Lytechinus pictus: one gene and its partner. The protein of the gene in region 2 interacts with the protein of the main gene of each other region in a pairwise test. Links are inferred from orthologs where the notes say so. Each region holds a gene or a part of one and is shown on either strand. Other genes may lie near its edges. The genes, in order: ATPase family AAA domain-containing protein 3-B-like and disks large homolog 1-like.

Region 1 (8,940 bases), on a different chromosome or scaffold from region 2:
AAAAAAATAGTACAAAGGAAAAGGCAAGCTCTAATAGAAATTAACAAAGAGATTGATAAACTTCAGAGCGCAAAAGAATCTAGCCAACAAGATAAATATACTCTCGACGAGCATAGAAATGCATTAAACTCGTTACTGAAAAATGAAGCACGCGGAGCTCTTGTGAGGTCTCGCTTTAAATACACAAATGAAACAGACTCATGCTCCAATTTTTTCTTCAACTTAGAAAAAACGAATTCCTTATCAAAAAGTATATCCCGCATTCGGCTCGCTTCGGGACGTATTTCGGAGAACCCTTCAGAGATAAAAAATCATGTTCGGGATTTTTATGAATCTCTTTACACTCGAAAGCCAACTGACAAGAGCGCCATCAATAGTTTACTTGTAAATATCAAGACGCTTGATCCGTCCTTATCAAAGGACCTTGAGAATCCAATATCTGTAGAAGAACTTGATAATGCTGTCAAGCAGCTAGGCAAAAATAAGTCTCCTGGTATCGATGGACTTACCTCTGAATTTTATCATGTCTTTTGGCCCATGCTCAAAGATGATTTTCTCGAAGTTCTTACCTCCTCTCTTGAATCTGGATTTTTACCATACTCTTTTAGGAGGGCGGTCATTACTTTACTCCCCAAAAAAGGAGACCTCGCTGATATTTCAAATTGGCGTCCCGTCTCCCTCCTCAACACAGACTATAAAATTTTTGCTAGGCTGCTTGCCAGTAGGCTAAAATCATGCATTGACCATGTTATTGGAAGAGACCAAAGTTATTGTATCCCCGGTCGTTCTATTTATGACAACATTAATCTCATTAGAGATATTTTGTTCTATGCAAACACTGATAATATTTCTTTGGCTGTATTGAACTTGGACCAGAAAAAGGCATTTGATAATGTAGATCATGTTTATTTATTCAATGTTATGAAACGCATGGGCTTTGGAAGTCATTTTATATCTTATATACGAATTTTGTATGAAGGGTCTGAAAGCCTTATTAAAGTGTGTGGATCCCTGACAGCTCCCTTCCCCTTTGAGAAAGGAATACGACAGGGATGCCCTCTCTCAGGGTTGCTATATACTCTCGCCATTGAGCCTCTCCTGAACTCACTAAGAGAGAACGTGTCAAATCATGCATTAAATATCCCTGCTATTAACAAACCTTGTGTAGTATCTGCATATGCAGACGATGTATCGATATTTGTTACAGCCGATGCTGGCTTTGAATTAGTTGAACAAACTTACAATACGTTTAGTCTGGCCTCTACTGCATGTTTAAATACAAAAAAATCACAAGGCCTTTGGGTCGGCCGTTGGAAAGGGCGGAATGATAAACCCCTCAACTTTTCTTGGAATAGTGAAGGTCTCCCCTTTTTAGGAGTTCATTTAGGGAACACGTTTAATTATTCTAAACAAAACTGGATTAAATGTAAAGAAAGACTTAATAAGACTTTCATTTCGTGGTCTCGTTTATCGAACTCACTCTCATTTAAAGGCAAGGTATTGATTGCAAACCAGCTCGCTGCATCAAAAATATTTCATGTTCTTGCAGTTCTTTCTCCTCCTGAAAATGTATTAAACGAACTTCAGAATTTAATTGTGAATTTTATCTGGTCAAATAAGCGGCACTGGTTAAAGAAAGAAGTGTTGTATGAAAAACCTGACGAAGGAGGGCTGGGGCTAGCTTGTCTCCAAGCTCGTGTTCTAACTTACAGATTTTCGATTATTCAACGGTTTCTTTCGTTAAATTCTCATCCAGTAAACGACTTTATGGCTCATTTTCTGAGACAGTATTGTAAATTAGGATTTGATTACCATTTGTTCTTTACAAGAATTGATCCTAAGTTTTACACAAGTCTTCCAGTTTACTACAGTGAAGTTCTGCGAGCTTGGTTGACATCTGGAGCTCGAATTGTGACACAATCCCTCTCTTTCAGCCATGCAATTAACATGCCCTTAAATAGTTTTCATATTATTGATGCAATTGATGTTGATAATTTTTTTCCGACGCGCCTGATGGCATGCGGAGTGAAACTAGTTCGCCATTTGATAAACCACTCAACTGGTCTTTGGATTGAGAGTAGCTGTCTCCAAAAGAACTTTCCAAGAGGACTTCGACAACCATCATCGCGTCTCATCGAACGTGAAACATTACTCATTCGAACTGCACTCTCTAAAGTTTTTCCTACATATTTTAATGACTCAGGCTGTCAACACGAATACTCTGATCTATTGTCTGCTCCAGTTACTCCGATCAACTTCACTCTGGCTTCTTCCGAAAATGGACTTACTGCTTCTTCTAAAGCCATCTACAGAATCTACAGGAAAGAACTAGATAATACGACAATCTCATCAAGCTCACATTGGCATGATACTGGATTTCTCGATCCATCTACAAAAGTGAACTGGCTATCTATCTATCAATTACCAACACCTAAAAAAGAGGCTGATATTCAATACAAGCTCCTTCACAATATTTTACCGTCGCTCACTATACTCCATCATCTTAATACAGACATTTCTTCTTTTTGCGGATGGTGCGGAGAACCAGGAACCATTCAACATCTGTTCATCGAATGTAAAGGAATCCAACCCCCTCTCAATCTTCTTCATAGACTGTTGAACAATCTCCTCCCCTCTCTCAAACTTAATTTTGACCTATACTGGGCACTCATTCCGCATGCCAGAGGGCGTGACAGAAAGGTTATCCGCCTTGCTAATTTCCTTATTATTAGTTTAAAAAGTACCATTTATTTTATGTACCGTACCTCAAATTTCACCGATCCACTTATTATTTGGTTACATCGTCTCAAAAACAGAATACTCTATGAATTTACTTATTACAAATTATGTTCTAATATTGATGCTTTTTCACGTAAATGGTGTATGAATAGATTACTTTTTACAATTAACGAGGGCAGCATTGCATGGCTCATTTAACATTTGGTTTTATAACTCTGTGCTTGTAATCAACCTGATCTCATTTGAATGTTTATGTCAAACTATTCTTTTATTATATACCTGACTTTTGTGATTATAATTTGTAAATAAAGTTTTCATTTGAAAAGTCAAAAAAGTCTTTCTTTCTTTCTTTCTTTCTTTCTTTCTTTCTTTCTTTCTTTCTTTCTTTCTTTCTTTCTTTCTTTCTTTCTTTCTTTCTTTCTTTCTTTCTTTCTTTCTTTCTTTCTTTCTTTCTTTCTTTCTTTCTTTCTTTCTTTCTTTCTTTCTTTCTTTCTTTCTTTCTTTCTTTCTTTCTTTCTTTCTTTCTTTCTTTCTTTCTTTCTTTCTTTCTTTCTTTCTTTCTTTCTTTCTTTCTTTCTTTCTTTCTTTCTTTCTTTCTTTCTTTCTTTCTTTCTTTCTTTCTTTCTTTCTTTCTTTCTTTCTTTCTTTCTTTCTTTCTTTCTTTCTTTCTTTCTTTCTTTCTTTCTTTCCCTTCCCTTTTTCTCTTTCTCCTTTTCCTGTTTTTTTATTTTCCCGGTGAAATCCGCAAGGGGGGGGCAGCTTGCCCCCTGCCCCCATCATACGTTTGCTTATTTGACCAGTCTTTTACAACCACCTTTGAAAAAAATATAAAATAAATCAGTCATTTTTTAGTGCACGCGCGGCCCGAGTCCAAATCTGAAACCCCCCCCCCCCGGAGAATACCGCCCCTGCATGATGATAAATTTGTCAGTATATAGGGCCTAAATGGCATACTTGCTGGATTTTCTATTTTCATCAAAATTGCCTTTTTTGTTGGGATCGATGGACTTGCCCCTAATTCTAGCCCGATTGAGTAAAATATATGGACCCCCACACAGACGGGTGGGGGGTGTCAAGCACTGGCGTAAATCCGTGTTGATGGGTGGGGGGGATGACTGAAATATTTTGGCATTTTTTGCAATCATGTTTTTAGATATGCAAGGAATTGTCATTGATATGTCCACAGTGGCGTACCGTGGGTCACGGCATTGGGGAGGGGGGGGGGGGGGCACCAGCAAAATTTTTGAATCACTAAGTGAGTGCGCTAAGTTGCCAGTTATACTGACCTAATAGAGACATTTTAAAGACAATGTCATTAAACGGATATGTAGCTCACTGATCAAATAATGCGAGCGCGAAGCGCGAGCTGAAATTTTTTTATATTCACACCTAAAAGGGGACAATATAATCAAATTTGTGTAATCATGATAGGTACCTGTCTCGCTAAACAATGCGAGCGCGAAGCGCGAGCTGAACACTTAGATAATTCAGACCTGAAGTGGGGCATTCTAAGGTTTCTTTGTAGGAATTAACTAGGACCATACGTATTTCATTAACCAAATGATGCGAGTGCGAAGCGCGAGCTGAAAATTTTTGATATTCAGATCAGAAGAAGGGACATTTTAAGGACTGATTTTAGGAATTCATGAAGAGCAGACATATCTCACCAATCCACTAATGCAAACGTAATCACGGACAGGAAATGTTTCATATATACGAAGACCTTAACATGGGGCAATCACTTTTGAGTCATGAAAAAGAAGCATATGTCACTACATAAAACAATGATAACTCAAGTGCTAGGAAATATATTTGGTTTATATTGACTTGAAAACGGTATGTTACAGGATTATATATCTCGTTAAACAGACAATGCGAGCACCAGGAACAATAAAAATAGACGTAGGCCCTGGGCAAATTATGTTTCATAAAGTTGTAATATAACATAATTATAATATAATATAACATTATAATGAATAATATAACATTATAATGAATAATATTTTCTTCTTTCCCACTACGTTTCTCTTCCTTTCTCCCTCTTTTCTCCTTTTCCCCCTTTCCTCGTTTTTGTTTTTGGTCAGCCGATGGGGGGGGGGGGGGGGGGGGGATGTGCCCCCCATGTCCCCCGTAGTTACGCCACTGTATATCCATATGGCAAATACCCCTCCAATATTATTATCTTTTTTACCCCATGATGGTAATAATGGTTTTATTAGAGATTACATTAAAAAAAATTTGACATTCCATCTTCATCCCTTCCCAAAGACCCCAACATTGATGAATTGGAAGAAACAGGGGTTTCTCTTCAATGTTATAATAAGGACATAAGTATTTCGTTTGGAAATGGTGAAATTGCTCTTTATTTGCATTTTATGATTTAATAATATTGTTTTATTTGTTAAGCGGTATTTTAGGAAGAATTTTCACCAATAAAACAATTATCTCTTGTGATTTTTTTTTTCATTTCTTTCGTAAAAAGTGGGGGTTGTGATTTTTTTTTTCATTTCTTTCGTAAAAAGTGGGGGGGGGGGATGTTTGTACAGGCCATTCCCCCCCTCCTCGAAAGTGGGGGGGATATATCCCCCCATCCCCCCCGGGATTTACGCCAGTGGTGTCAAGTATCGATCTGAAAAATATAGTCTCCAAATTATAGCCATATACATTTATGATTTAATATCACAACCAAATATAGGGAACGAAATAATTTTGAATAAACACGAAAGTGAAAGTGTTCGAACAAAGTACAGTATTTTATTGCCTTCGTGGTTCGCCTCGGGCTTTCTGCGTTAGGAAGAAAAAAATCTTATTAGCTTAGATTTATTGATCAAAGACTAGTCCAGTTTCAACTTTGACCTCAGCAATACACACACGTGCATTGGCATTACATCAGCGAGAATAGCCTGTAAAATCTCTTCAAAATGTCGTGGTTGTTTGGGATTCGGAAGGACCAGCCTCTGCCAGAGGCACCTCAACTTCCAGTTTTACAAGATGGAGGATCGGGAGCTTCATCAGGAGGAGGAAAAGATGGAAAGGGGGACAGTGGATCAGGAGGAGGAGGAAAAGGAGCCGGCTACAGCAACTTCAGTAACTTCGACCCGTCGGGCCTGGAGCGGGCGGCCCAGGCTGCCCGCGAGCTCGACAAGTCCGGTGAGCGAGTAGGATTATTTGGGGATCAGGGGCCCGTTTCTCAACACCTGGACAAGTTAGTCATATCTTTATCCACCAACCACGGAGTTAGTTCCAATCTTACTAAACCTGTTTCACGAAAGGCTTCCTAACTAGAATACCTTGATATCGATACTCTCGGTAAAAAGAGCAGACGAGACGTAGCCTTACTTAGTCACAAAATAGCATAATTTTCAAAAAGAAAAATTATGACAAAATTGCAAATATTGTGATAAATTGGGGAATACATCTTTTCAAAATAATAGCACATGTAAACTATGCATCATACATACTTAGACCATGAAGATTGGAGCATTCAATTGCTGAGAAAATTAAATTATGAATAGTTTATTTCATGACTAGAAAATCACATGTGGACGTAGACCAAAAGCTTCGGTCTCTGTTATGTTGGTTGTTCAGCTGAACTCCGTTGGCTTCACTCACCAAATACAGAGACCGAAGTTCTAGCGCGATCTGTACAGGGGACTCAATGGCCATATGTTTATGTACTTAAGATCGGATAAAACGGGGAAGTGAATTTGCGCGACAGCCGAGGTAAGTCACTGTTTTTGTTCCTTTTAACTTGATTTTTCTCAGTTTTTTGGCAATTAATGCCAAGAGGGAATATTAATTTGCATTTTGGTCGCGTTAATTTTCAAAATTTTTATTCATTAAAGACAACAATTGAAGAGCCCCGACGGGGGGATTTTGCATTGCAAGTCCCCTAATGGTGGCTGCACGCTAGCGAGCCGTCTGTGTACGAGGAGAAAAAAAAAAAAAAAAAAGTTAAAAAACTCCTCGAAACAGACGGCTGCCAGCTGTCTAATGTGGACGTTGAGATGCCTGGGTACCCCCGTGACATCGAATTTTAATAGTTTACGAAAATAAACCATAACGGTTTTCTTTTTAAAATGATGATAATTATACGCCCTTCTACGATTCAAAACATCATCAAAATATAGTTTAACAAAACCAAACATAAATATTTGATACCGAAACATACGATTTGACAAATTCTATGCATAAATTAGAGATAGAATTTATCCAAATGTTAATAGGGGTCTGAAAACAACAAATACGAGTCCAGTTATGGATGGCCTGACGTGGTAGAATCTTTATCGATTAAATCATTTTACTATTTCAAAGTGAATGGTTTTGTGGCGTTTTACCAACAGTTCTTTGTATTAGAATTATCATTGAATGCGTTATCCCACTTGTTTTGTGATGTAATTTCAACCTCTATGATTGATTACGTAAGATTATTATTTTCAAATTTCTTGGCACTTTTGCATGTCATAGTCTACACACGTGATGCCACTACGTCATTAAGAAAGAAGTTATGACAGGTTCGGAGGTGTCATAAATATTTAGTGAGGTTGTTGTACCCGATCTTGGTAAAGAGGGCTTCGTGAAACGGTTAGCGGACAAGTAGCTCACTATCTCCGATTTAGTCAAGAAGTTAGACTTATGACGGTGTTGAGAAACGGGCCCCTGATGTCCACTGCACTGAAAGCTGTCTTAAGACTTACATGTAACTTAAGCAGATAAGAAAATTATCTTTGTCTGTGACCACAATTTTAGTATTTCCTATCATTACGTTAAACTTAAAAAATAAAATGATTTCTTGGGAGTTTCATGTAGGCCTACCTAGCCTATTTTGTGTAAATTACTAAAATGTGATTTGTTAAAAAATTGTGTTGTAAATGTAAGTTACTAAGTAACGGATTGTGTAGTGTGCGCTGGCCTAGAGCACCATATCCACGTGGATTGTGCTCAAGCCACTGAAGAAAGTGAAAGGAAGGGTCATAAAGATGTCTTTCCTTGAGCCAGGGTTACACCAAAATCGAATCGTCCCTAATATAATAATTTCAGACCAATTCTGCAAGAATATGGCCTGATTCGGATGGAATTAGTGGATTCGAAACCTATTCGTCTCCCTGAATTAGAGGTGAATAGGTCCTGAATCAGAGCAGAATTGACTGCCAGAATACCCCAAATGCCTCCCAGAATCTATCGGAATTTCCTCCGAATATATCCTGAAAGTGGCCCGATTTAAATTTGTCGTGGCCAGATACGAGTCTTTCGGAGAGTATTCGGCTGGTTTTAAACATTTCAAAATGAGCTGAATCTCTCCACGAATGTTCCCTAATCCCTCTCGAATTTACTGGCATTCTGGGAAGGAGAAAAGAGTACTCCTGAATACATTGTAGATACATGTATTTGGATGGATTCACAGCTGATTCGGTTTCGGTGTAACCCAGGCTTAAACTTTAAAGGAGAATGAAACCCTTGAAACCAGCTGAATCCATATCAAAGAGAAAAATCAAAGAAACATATTGTTGAAAGTTTGAGGAAGATTGATTGAATAATAAGAAAGTTATGAGCATTTGAATGTCAATATCACTAATGCCATGTAGATCCTCCCATTGGCAATGCGACCAAGATCTGTGATGTCACACACGTACAACTCCCTCATTACTTTAGTACTTATTTCACTTATATTCTCACTTTTATAGAGTCTATCACAAGGTGAGGTGTTCTCTTTATGAGAGGACAAGTACAAAGGTTTCACAACATTATATCATTGATAAATCGTTTGCATATGATTAGAATGAGCAAAAAGAGAAGTTTTGGGGTATATTTTCAGTGTCCAAAAGGGGAGAGTTGTTCATCTGTGACATCATAGATCTTGGTCGCATTGCCAATGGGAGGATCTCCATAGCATTAGTGATCTAGACATTCAAATGCTCATAGCTCTTCTATTGCTAGTCCTATTTCACTCAAACTTTTGTTGATCTTATTCTTTGATTTTTCTGCTTTCACAAAAGCTAACTTGCTCCAAGAGTTTCATTCTCCTTTAACCAATGTAACTCCACACATCTATTTATATATCTGAAAAAAATAGAATGTTTACATTCCTTGAACTTGACAATGCTTATTGACTGTTTTATAGCGAAAAATTGAATACTTGAAATGAATATATAATGCTGTATAAGCTGTTATTTTCGCGGGGGTTTTATTTTCGTGGATTTC
Region 2 (8,768 bases):
GTGCTGGGCCGGGCTATCAAATGTTGGTTTGGGATACGTTTGTGACAGTACGGTCTGATGGATGGTTTCATAGCACAGGGAAGCGAGGCTAAATTGAAACTACCCTGGGAAATCAACAAGAAATGTGCGACATATGTCGGATGCCTGTGACTCAAGGCTGGCAAAATTGACTAGACTGGAGTTTAGAAAAATCGACTCTGGTGCTGGCGGAAGATGGGAGAGTGATGGTTAGTAATTTGGGGACGAGAACGAGAAAATGGAGAAATGAGAAAATAGAGAAATGGCCATGTGCATGAGGCATTTATGAAATGTTATTTACTCTTCCCAATCTTCAAATTCCACAGTGGTTTAGTCTCGCAACTCGGGACGAAAGGAAAAGGAGGAGGGCGATGGTTTGATGTCGATGAATGTAGAAATGATTTTTTTTTTACGATGGGCAAGGAGAAATGTATTTATCAATACTTAATAAGAAAAGGTGATTGAAAAATTGTATTTGCAGGAGGGAAATCACTGCAGGGAAATTAATGAATGAGTGAATGATAGAAAGAGGGAGTGAAAATAAGCTTATGGGGAGATAGAGAGGAGAGAAAGAGCGAGATAGATAAATGGGTGGAATAATGAAGGGGGAGGGGGGGGGGAAAGAACGGAATTGCAAAAGAGGGGGGGGGGGTCCAAGGGGGTGGAATAAAATAAGATGTGAAATTTATGTATCATGTTACACATACATGGATAATATATAAGGGAGACAATCCTGTCAATAACATTCAGAGAAAATCCAATATTGAGTAGATAAATTAGGAAAAAACATAATTTTTATAAAAAAATTCTAATAAAACAAACTTTCTGTTTCAGATTATTAAAAAGGAAGCTCAACTAAAGTCATCTCGAACCAGAAAAAACTGCCCTAAACCAACTCGGAAATTACCCGTGTTACAATTTCTCCTCAATTTCACAATAAACCTGATCAAATTCTTCATGACAAAATGTCAGCAAACTCCACGGAATAATCCACAAAATGCAGAATAATTTCATCTCGCTATTATCTTTTAGTTCTCTCCTGGCCAAACGATGCAAAAGATAATTACAGATGTCTTCTTCGAGGCCTTAATTATGCATATCATACCAGATGGAATTATCCATGTCATATTTTGATCCCCAAGCTTGAGGTTTTGTGCATATTTGAGTTTAAACGAAGGTCTAAAAATAACATTCAAGATGAGAAGATGGAGGTTGTTATGAAAATCGATAACTCTATGAATAATGGAATCTATCTGATGGCCTTTCAAAAATAAGTAGAAAAAGAAAAAAAACCCAGGGGCAACAGATGCATGAGAAGTCGGTCTCTGATTAGTATGAAGACAATAACACTGTCTGGAAAAAGAGACTAATCTGTATCTCCGATGTCTAGCTTCTCTTGCTCAAATTGGGGATTTGGTCTCTGTTCAAGACTTTCTGTATTGTCTTGGACATGCATCAGGAATTCTACCCCCCCCCTTTTAAATTGCAGATTGGATTTTTATTTGGAGTTGCCTATATAAAGGTGATGGTTGATTTTTTTTTCACAATTGAATTAAAAAAAATAAGATTGTGATTAATCTTTGGAGATGACATGGAGCATGGTAAAAATGCATTAGGACATCAAAGAAAGTGAGAGAATGAAAGTAATATGATGAAGGATAAAAAGGAGAAGAATGAAGGAGGAGAAAGAAAAGTAGAAAAGGAATGAGATGGATGATGAAGATGGGGGATAAAATATAAGATAAATAAGAAAGAAAACGAAGTGAAGATAAAAAAACCAGAGCATTAGAAGAACAGACAAAAACTAGGAAGAAGATGAAGAAATGGGAGGAGAGGAAGAAGAAAAAGGAATAAACATGGTAAACTTACCCGTACTAATGTGATTTCCTCATATTGCCACTGAGTATCTCTATTTTGTATCTGACAGAGAGATAGAGAGAGAGAGAAAAAAAAGGAGACACAAAAAAAAACCAAGAGTTTAAGAAGAGACAATATATATTAAATAGGAACAATTCCTCATAAAAATGAGAAAAGGTAAAGAAAATTGCCATCAACTTATCATTACAAAAAAATCGAATGAAAATATGCTCCGCTGTTCCCGTACATAAAACTTGATATCAATTTTTTGGTTCATGAAAAAAAAAGAAAAATAACCTCATATCTACTCTAGATAACACTCATTCTTTTCAAATTCCTGAAAAATTCCAAATTATGCAATTCCAAAATTTTCCAAAAGAGAGTACAGTCAATTTTATAATTTTTCAGTATTATGACTGGGTATGCCAAAGTCATTTAAATCTAACTTGTATGACTACCAATGATTTATTTGTATTAATACATTTAAATATGTGCTAATTTCTTCTGGTATATAGAAAAAGACTTATTAGTCAGTAATAATACAAGGGTTTGCAGTTTATAAAGTATGTCTAGTTGGCAATAAGCAAGGAAAATAAAGTAATTAGACTTTTTTCAGGGTATCATATAATACATTCCTACATCTGCATAGCTCTGTTAGCAATTTTCATTGTCAGAGCGTGATACGAAAAAACAACCCAACTAATTCACATGGATTTTTAAATTCTACATCGCTCACTCCCCTGAAATGTGCTTTTTGTATCAGAGTAGCTAAATCTTGTGTACATAATACACATGATTGGAGTATGTGAAATGTACATGGTGTAATCGGCTGTTCTGGTATAATGAAATCAAATGTTTCAACCTATTGAACAAATCAAATGAACGATGGTGTGACGGCGTCGCTTACAGAATCAAACTTCGCAGGAAGCCGGGGGAAACGGAAACAAACCCAACCACAATGGAGGAAGAAAATGTGATTAATCATAAATTTGGTGGATTGCACTGAAATTCTGTGCCCGGATCTTGCATTAGGTTTTTGCACGAGGCTGTGTATGGTAGGTGGAGGTACACCGTTTTCCTGAAGTCAAAAGCAACAGTTGTATGCCCTTTGATCAATGCATAATGCATGGCTTGTGATCTCTGATGGTAAAGACACCTCCATGTGATGTCAATCTTTTAAAATGCCATTTTCTCAAAAAAAAAAATTGAAAGTGATGTTGTTGGTATGGTGGATACTCTTGTTTTCTTTGATGGATTGTTGCCCAACCTTCACCACTATTTTTTGAAAATTTGTCTGTTTTTATTGAAATAAACACAGCGTTATGGTGAAGTTCCCCTTTAAAGTCTTAGCAGCGGGTATTTTGTACTTACTGTCGGGGTTCCTGTTCCCTCTAATCTGTCTGATAACACTGGTGATGAAGGTGAGGGCTGCTGAAAAGAAAAGAAGAAAAAGGAAGGAAATTTTATTTACTACTGTCAATGTCAAAAACACTAATATGGGGGAGTACTTATGATAGTGAATTACTAGTTATTAAACTCAAGATTAGCATAATAATCAGCATCGCCATTACCACAATTTATCAGCCATTTACAGCATCAACAATTACAACAACTTTCTCCTTTATTTTTACATTACTACCACTTTCATAACCAATGCCATTTTTATAACCTCATCATCATTATCATCATCATCATAATCACCACCACCACCACCACCACCATCACCACCACCGTCATCGTCATCATCATCAACAACACCACCACCACCATCACCACCATCACCACCACCACCATCATCGTCATCATCATCATAATCATCATCATCATCATCACCACCACCATCATCATCGTCATCATCATCATAATCATCATCATCATCGTCGTCGTATTCATCATCATCAACACCACCATCACCACCATCGTCATCATCATCATCATCATCATCATAATCATCATCATCATCATCATCATTATCATAACTGTCACCTTCACTGCCATAATCATCTTCATTCCAACCATCATCATGACCACCACAACCATCATCATCATAACATCATCACATCAACATTGACATCATCACCACCACCAATGCCACTATCAACATCACAACTCCTCATCACCATATAATCATCCGATTCTTAAGTTAAAATGTTTTTACCAAATTATGCAATCATAATACATACCTCAAACAATACCACCAATATCATAATCACAATCAGTATTCACATACCCTTTTCTTGAACTCATCAACACACAATTTTTTCCGACACATACACATAGGCCTAAATGAGCAAAGTTATAAGCATTCATATTTAAAACCAAGCATTCAATAAACATCGGAGAAACATTTTGATAAGTCCCACCACAAAATGCAGAACTAATCTCATCAGATCCAATTAGCCGTACCATGAAAATAACAACTACATCTAACAAATATTGGCTGGTTTCAAGTACATAAAAGCCCCGCTCTTCCCGCATGGTCGAAAAAATTTCTCCTTTCCTCATTAAACATCTAAATTGCATCAGCAGGTAGTAAACAACATATCATGGACTATATATCACCATTTGGAATCATAACGCAGAGATTTAAGCTTGCGGCAAGGATAGGGTATTACATTAATTTTACTTCATTTAAAAAGCTGCTAAATTTAAAGACACAAGGCCTCATAATAGAGGGTACTTCTGCCTGCAGAGTGCAGACTGTGTATGCTAATTACCAGGGGTTGAACAAAAAAGCTATTTAATGATACGCTGTATTGTATTGATTAAATAATTCTTTCTCCTGGTTTCTGTGTCTGCCTGACAAGGTCTGTACAATTGTTGGTCTGTATCTCTTATCATTTTCTTTTTACTTGTACTGTATCCCCTAAACAGGTAACTTGATGCTGTAGTGTTGTTTAAATTTAGCTCTGTAGTGCAATGTACAAAAAATTATCAATAAAAAGAAGATACACTATTAACTTTATTCTCAGATAGCAAGCTCATTTTCAGTGACTATTCAAAAATTTTGAAGTAAACGCTAAAAGCTATTTGCAAGATGCTTTAGTTCGAGTTTATATACTTCTAGCCTCGGTGACGTGACATGCATGGCACGACCTTAATCAGGTTTTGATCGATAGGTGATCGGAGGTCAGGTTTAAGGCTGCCATGGGCGTTGGAGGAGTGGAATGAATGCTTATGGTGGTGGTGTTGGAGGTCGTGGTGATGGTAGAGTGATGACAATAGTGGAGGTGGTGATGATGGGTGGTGGTGATGATGATGATGATGAAGATGGTGGTGATGATAATGATGTTGATGATGATGGTGGTGGTGGTGATGATAATGATGGTGATGATGATGGCGGCAGTGGTGGTGGTGATGATGATGATGATAGTGATGATGATAATGATGATGATGGTGATGATGATAACGATGATGATGGTGGCAGTGGTGATGATGATAGTGACAATGGTGATAGTAGAGATGAGGGTGGTGGTGATCATGATGATGATGGTGGTGATAGTGATGACAGTGATAAAGATGGTGGTAATGACTGCTGTGAAGAAGACAATGATGATTATGGCAGTGGCGGTGGTGTAGGTGTTGATGATGGTGGTGGTGATGAAGACGATAGTGATAATGGAATGATCATGGTGATAATGAAAATGGTGGAGGTGTAATGATGATGATGATTATGATGGTGACGATGATAATGAAGATGACGATGGTGGTGTTGATGATGATGATGATTTTGGTAATGATGATGATAATGATGAGCTATATGAGACGCAGAATTCACCAACATTCAACTGTTTTGAATTCTCACAAGTTAAATACAATTTGCTTAACCAATAAATGATTCAAATTGTATACCACTGTATAAACAAGATGCATCAACTAGGAGCACATTAGGAATATTGCAATTTATCAGACATCCTACTCACGTTCCGCAATGCATAACAGAACCCTTTCAAATCATCTCGACACCTGCAATTTGATCGAGCCTTGCAACCTCTAATGCTAATCTGCAACAAAGGCAGAAATACAACGACAAATATTGGAGCCCACTGAGAGACCAAAATGCAGTAATCAATCTAGTGAAGCAGATAACAACACGTGTACAGTGAATTCTTAATGACATACGATCAAACTCTACAACTCACTAAACAACATCTTAAGTTGTTTTTCAATCAGCTCAGGGAGTCAACCGTGTTCTCTATTCGATGCGTAAAATAATACGGATTAGAAGACATTTGCATCCAAGATAGCTATCACATCATTCTTTGCATCAGGCATTTCTAATTCTCCATAGTCTTCTCTTGCCCGTAAGGTGCCAGAGTTTGTGGGTTTTACATGTTTATTAGTCACGGCTTGACATTTTTGTTTGTTTCTTGGCATTCTGATGCAAACCTCAAGGGGTAGATAACCATAAGAAAACCCAAGAATGTGATATTTTTAACTCATTCTCTGAAGAACTTTTGCATAGAAATGTGGCATACTGTTAGAAGCAGGCAAGGCCTACTTTTTATTAGGTCAACTCATAAAAAGAATACTTCTCTGAGTCCCGTGTATTCTTTTAATATGATGCTCGATGATGGTCTATAGTGTTATCAAATTATCTGCTATTCGTCTCTTAATATAATTTTTTTAATGCTATGTTAAAATGGAAAGTGATCTTATTCAAGTAATTTGTGGTTGTATTTCAATATAAAAATATCATATGGGCCCTAGTCTGGTGAAAATGTGTGTGTAAAGGCTAAATCTACCCTAAAAATTAGTGAGTTGAATGGCCCGAATAAAATGGAGCAAATCAAATTGAATATGTCATCGAAATCACTATCACTATTCAAAATTTATTTGAATTCAGCGTGCAGAGTGGGAGATTCTTGGTTAACAGGGACATATATAATTCAAATTTCAAATTGACAAAAAAATAAAGCACTGAGTACAGTAAATCTTTAGGGAATAGATGAAAATACAATGATTATAGTGGTAAAAACGAGAAAAGAGAAAAGAGAGAAAAAAACCAATCATCAGTGACAAGGGAAAATCCCAGATTGAAATCTGAAGCTTTGTAGATGAAGTAAAGATTTGTTTAATTCATTGTCAACCGTTTCTGTGTCATCCTATCTGTCCATAAACAGGTATCTCCCCAATTCTTTTCAAGTGGAGGTGCCGTGGCCGAGTGATCTAAGGCGCCTGGCTATAGATGGAAAGTCCAAGGTTCGATACCCGGCCGCGGCACCTATGCCAATGAGCAAGACATTTAATTGACAACGCTCTTTTATCCTGCATTCAAATAAATGAAAATGATATACGCATTATTGGTAACTAGGTGTGCACTTTATAAAAAAATTCTTTGCAAGCTGTCAAGATATAAATGAAATATAGAGATATTCCAAAGTCTGTATGTATCTGAAAGTGACAGCTAATTTATGAAGTGTGAATACACGTCTTAAATCTTGATTTATTTCAAATTTTCAAATTAAAAAAAAAATCAAATAGACAACTTGGAAAAATGAACTTCAAGAAGTGGCATTTTAATGATACTCTTTACAATTATTGATTTATTTTAACAAGTGGAACATTATCCTACCATTACTTGACTTTCTCTTCAAGTAAAGAGACTGAGATTTCCATAAAGAATATTTCATCCACTTGCTTTCTTTAAACGGCTGAATATTCTCGAAGATTTTCTTTTGGCATGCCACTTCCTGTTTTTGAGTCAAAGCAGTTGAAAACCAACCCCCACTATATCCTTGGGGGTTTAATCTTGTACACAGTCCTACATATCCAGATCCACGTATGGTTTCTTGTGTCTGCAGACTTGGATAAGATGCACAATGAATACTGTACAAAGACGGGCATATTCATGTATGGATTACAGCCAAGATTTTTTTTCTTGAAATTTGCATGACCAACAAACATATTGAAGGACAAAACTAAAAGAAATATGTGACAACAACCTTTCTCGCATTAAAAGAAAGTCAAAATTCCACAAAAGAACCTCAACTTTTGTTGAAGATCAAAGTCTCTGGAGCTTATGGTTTAGGCAAAATTATTTAGCATTCATCTTAAAGTTCTGCCAGGCATTGATTTTTCACAAGATGATATTGATGGATGAAAATAGTACCTCAAGCACACCAGGGCCCCGTCTTACAAAGAGTTAGGATTGATCCAATCAATCGTAACTCTATGGAAATCCACCAGTGTCATAATTTTTTCTACAGGAAATTTGCAAAATGTACTTTGTAAACAAAGGAGAACACCCCAAATTGTCAAGAAATCAACAAATTTATGGATATGCATCATATCTATAATTTTTTTTAACAAACAAGCATTTCATATGTTGACTTTGCTGGCATGCCATAGTTGCGATCGATCGGATTAATCGCAACTCTTTGTAAGATGAGCGCTGTAAGCTATCATGAAGTGCCCCACAAGACTGCACAAAGAAGGGTAAGAAAATGGATATTGAAAATAAATCAAATCCTGGGAAGAAAAGGGAGAAGGAAAAAATGTGATGTGAAATTTGAACCATTACTTCATTGGCTGTTAACCCAGTGGGGAACGGTGATTTTAGCCTAATTGAAATTGTGATAAGGATGAGACTTAATAGTGATTGAAATGGGTGCAAAGGAACTTGAGGGAGGGTGAAAAAATGGGAATGGACAGGGGATGAATCGGCAGGGATGGGGGGGGGGGGGTAATAGCAATGTAGGAATATATGAAAAGGGTTGAATTTGGTTGGATTACAAAGCGAGCTGAAGGAAGGGGGAGGGGCTACCTTCCAAGTTAATCATTTTTGGTATAAACTGTGTGGGGTGGACTTCATGGAGGTTTGCTCTGGATATATGTATAACTGTTTTTCTTCTTTGCTAAACTGGAAGGTACGAATTGCAAAGTACAAACTG

What was found.
Region 1: the proteins of disks large homolog 1-like (region 2) and ATPase family AAA domain-containing protein 3-B-like interact in a two-hybrid assay, tested with the Caenorhabditis elegans proteins (3 studies listed by BioGRID). The link is inferred for Lytechinus pictus from reciprocal best matches to the Caenorhabditis elegans genes dlg-1 and atad-3.

What each region holds. Positions count from the first base shown.
Region 1 is NC_087258.1:24,497,947-24,506,886, reverse strand, and holds the start of ATPase family AAA domain-containing protein 3-B-like, read left to right. Parts: upstream 1-5,580; 5' UTR 5,581-5,660; coding exon 5,661-5,889; intron 5,890-8,940. UniProt on the Caenorhabditis elegans protein: Essential for mitochondrial network organization, mitochondrial metabolism and cell growth at organism and cellular level. Important during development for the up-regulation of mitochondrial activity during the transition to higher larval stages.
Region 2 is NC_087260.1:18,802,226-18,810,993, reverse strand, and holds the start of disks large homolog 1-like, read right to left. Parts: upstream 3,304-8,768; 5' UTR 3,247-3,303; intron 1,939-3,246; 5' UTR 1,888-1,938; intron 1-1,887. UniProt on the Caenorhabditis elegans protein: Essential multidomain scaffolding protein required for normal development. Recruits channels, receptors and signaling molecules to discrete plasma membrane domains in polarized cells. Required for proper embryonic elongation.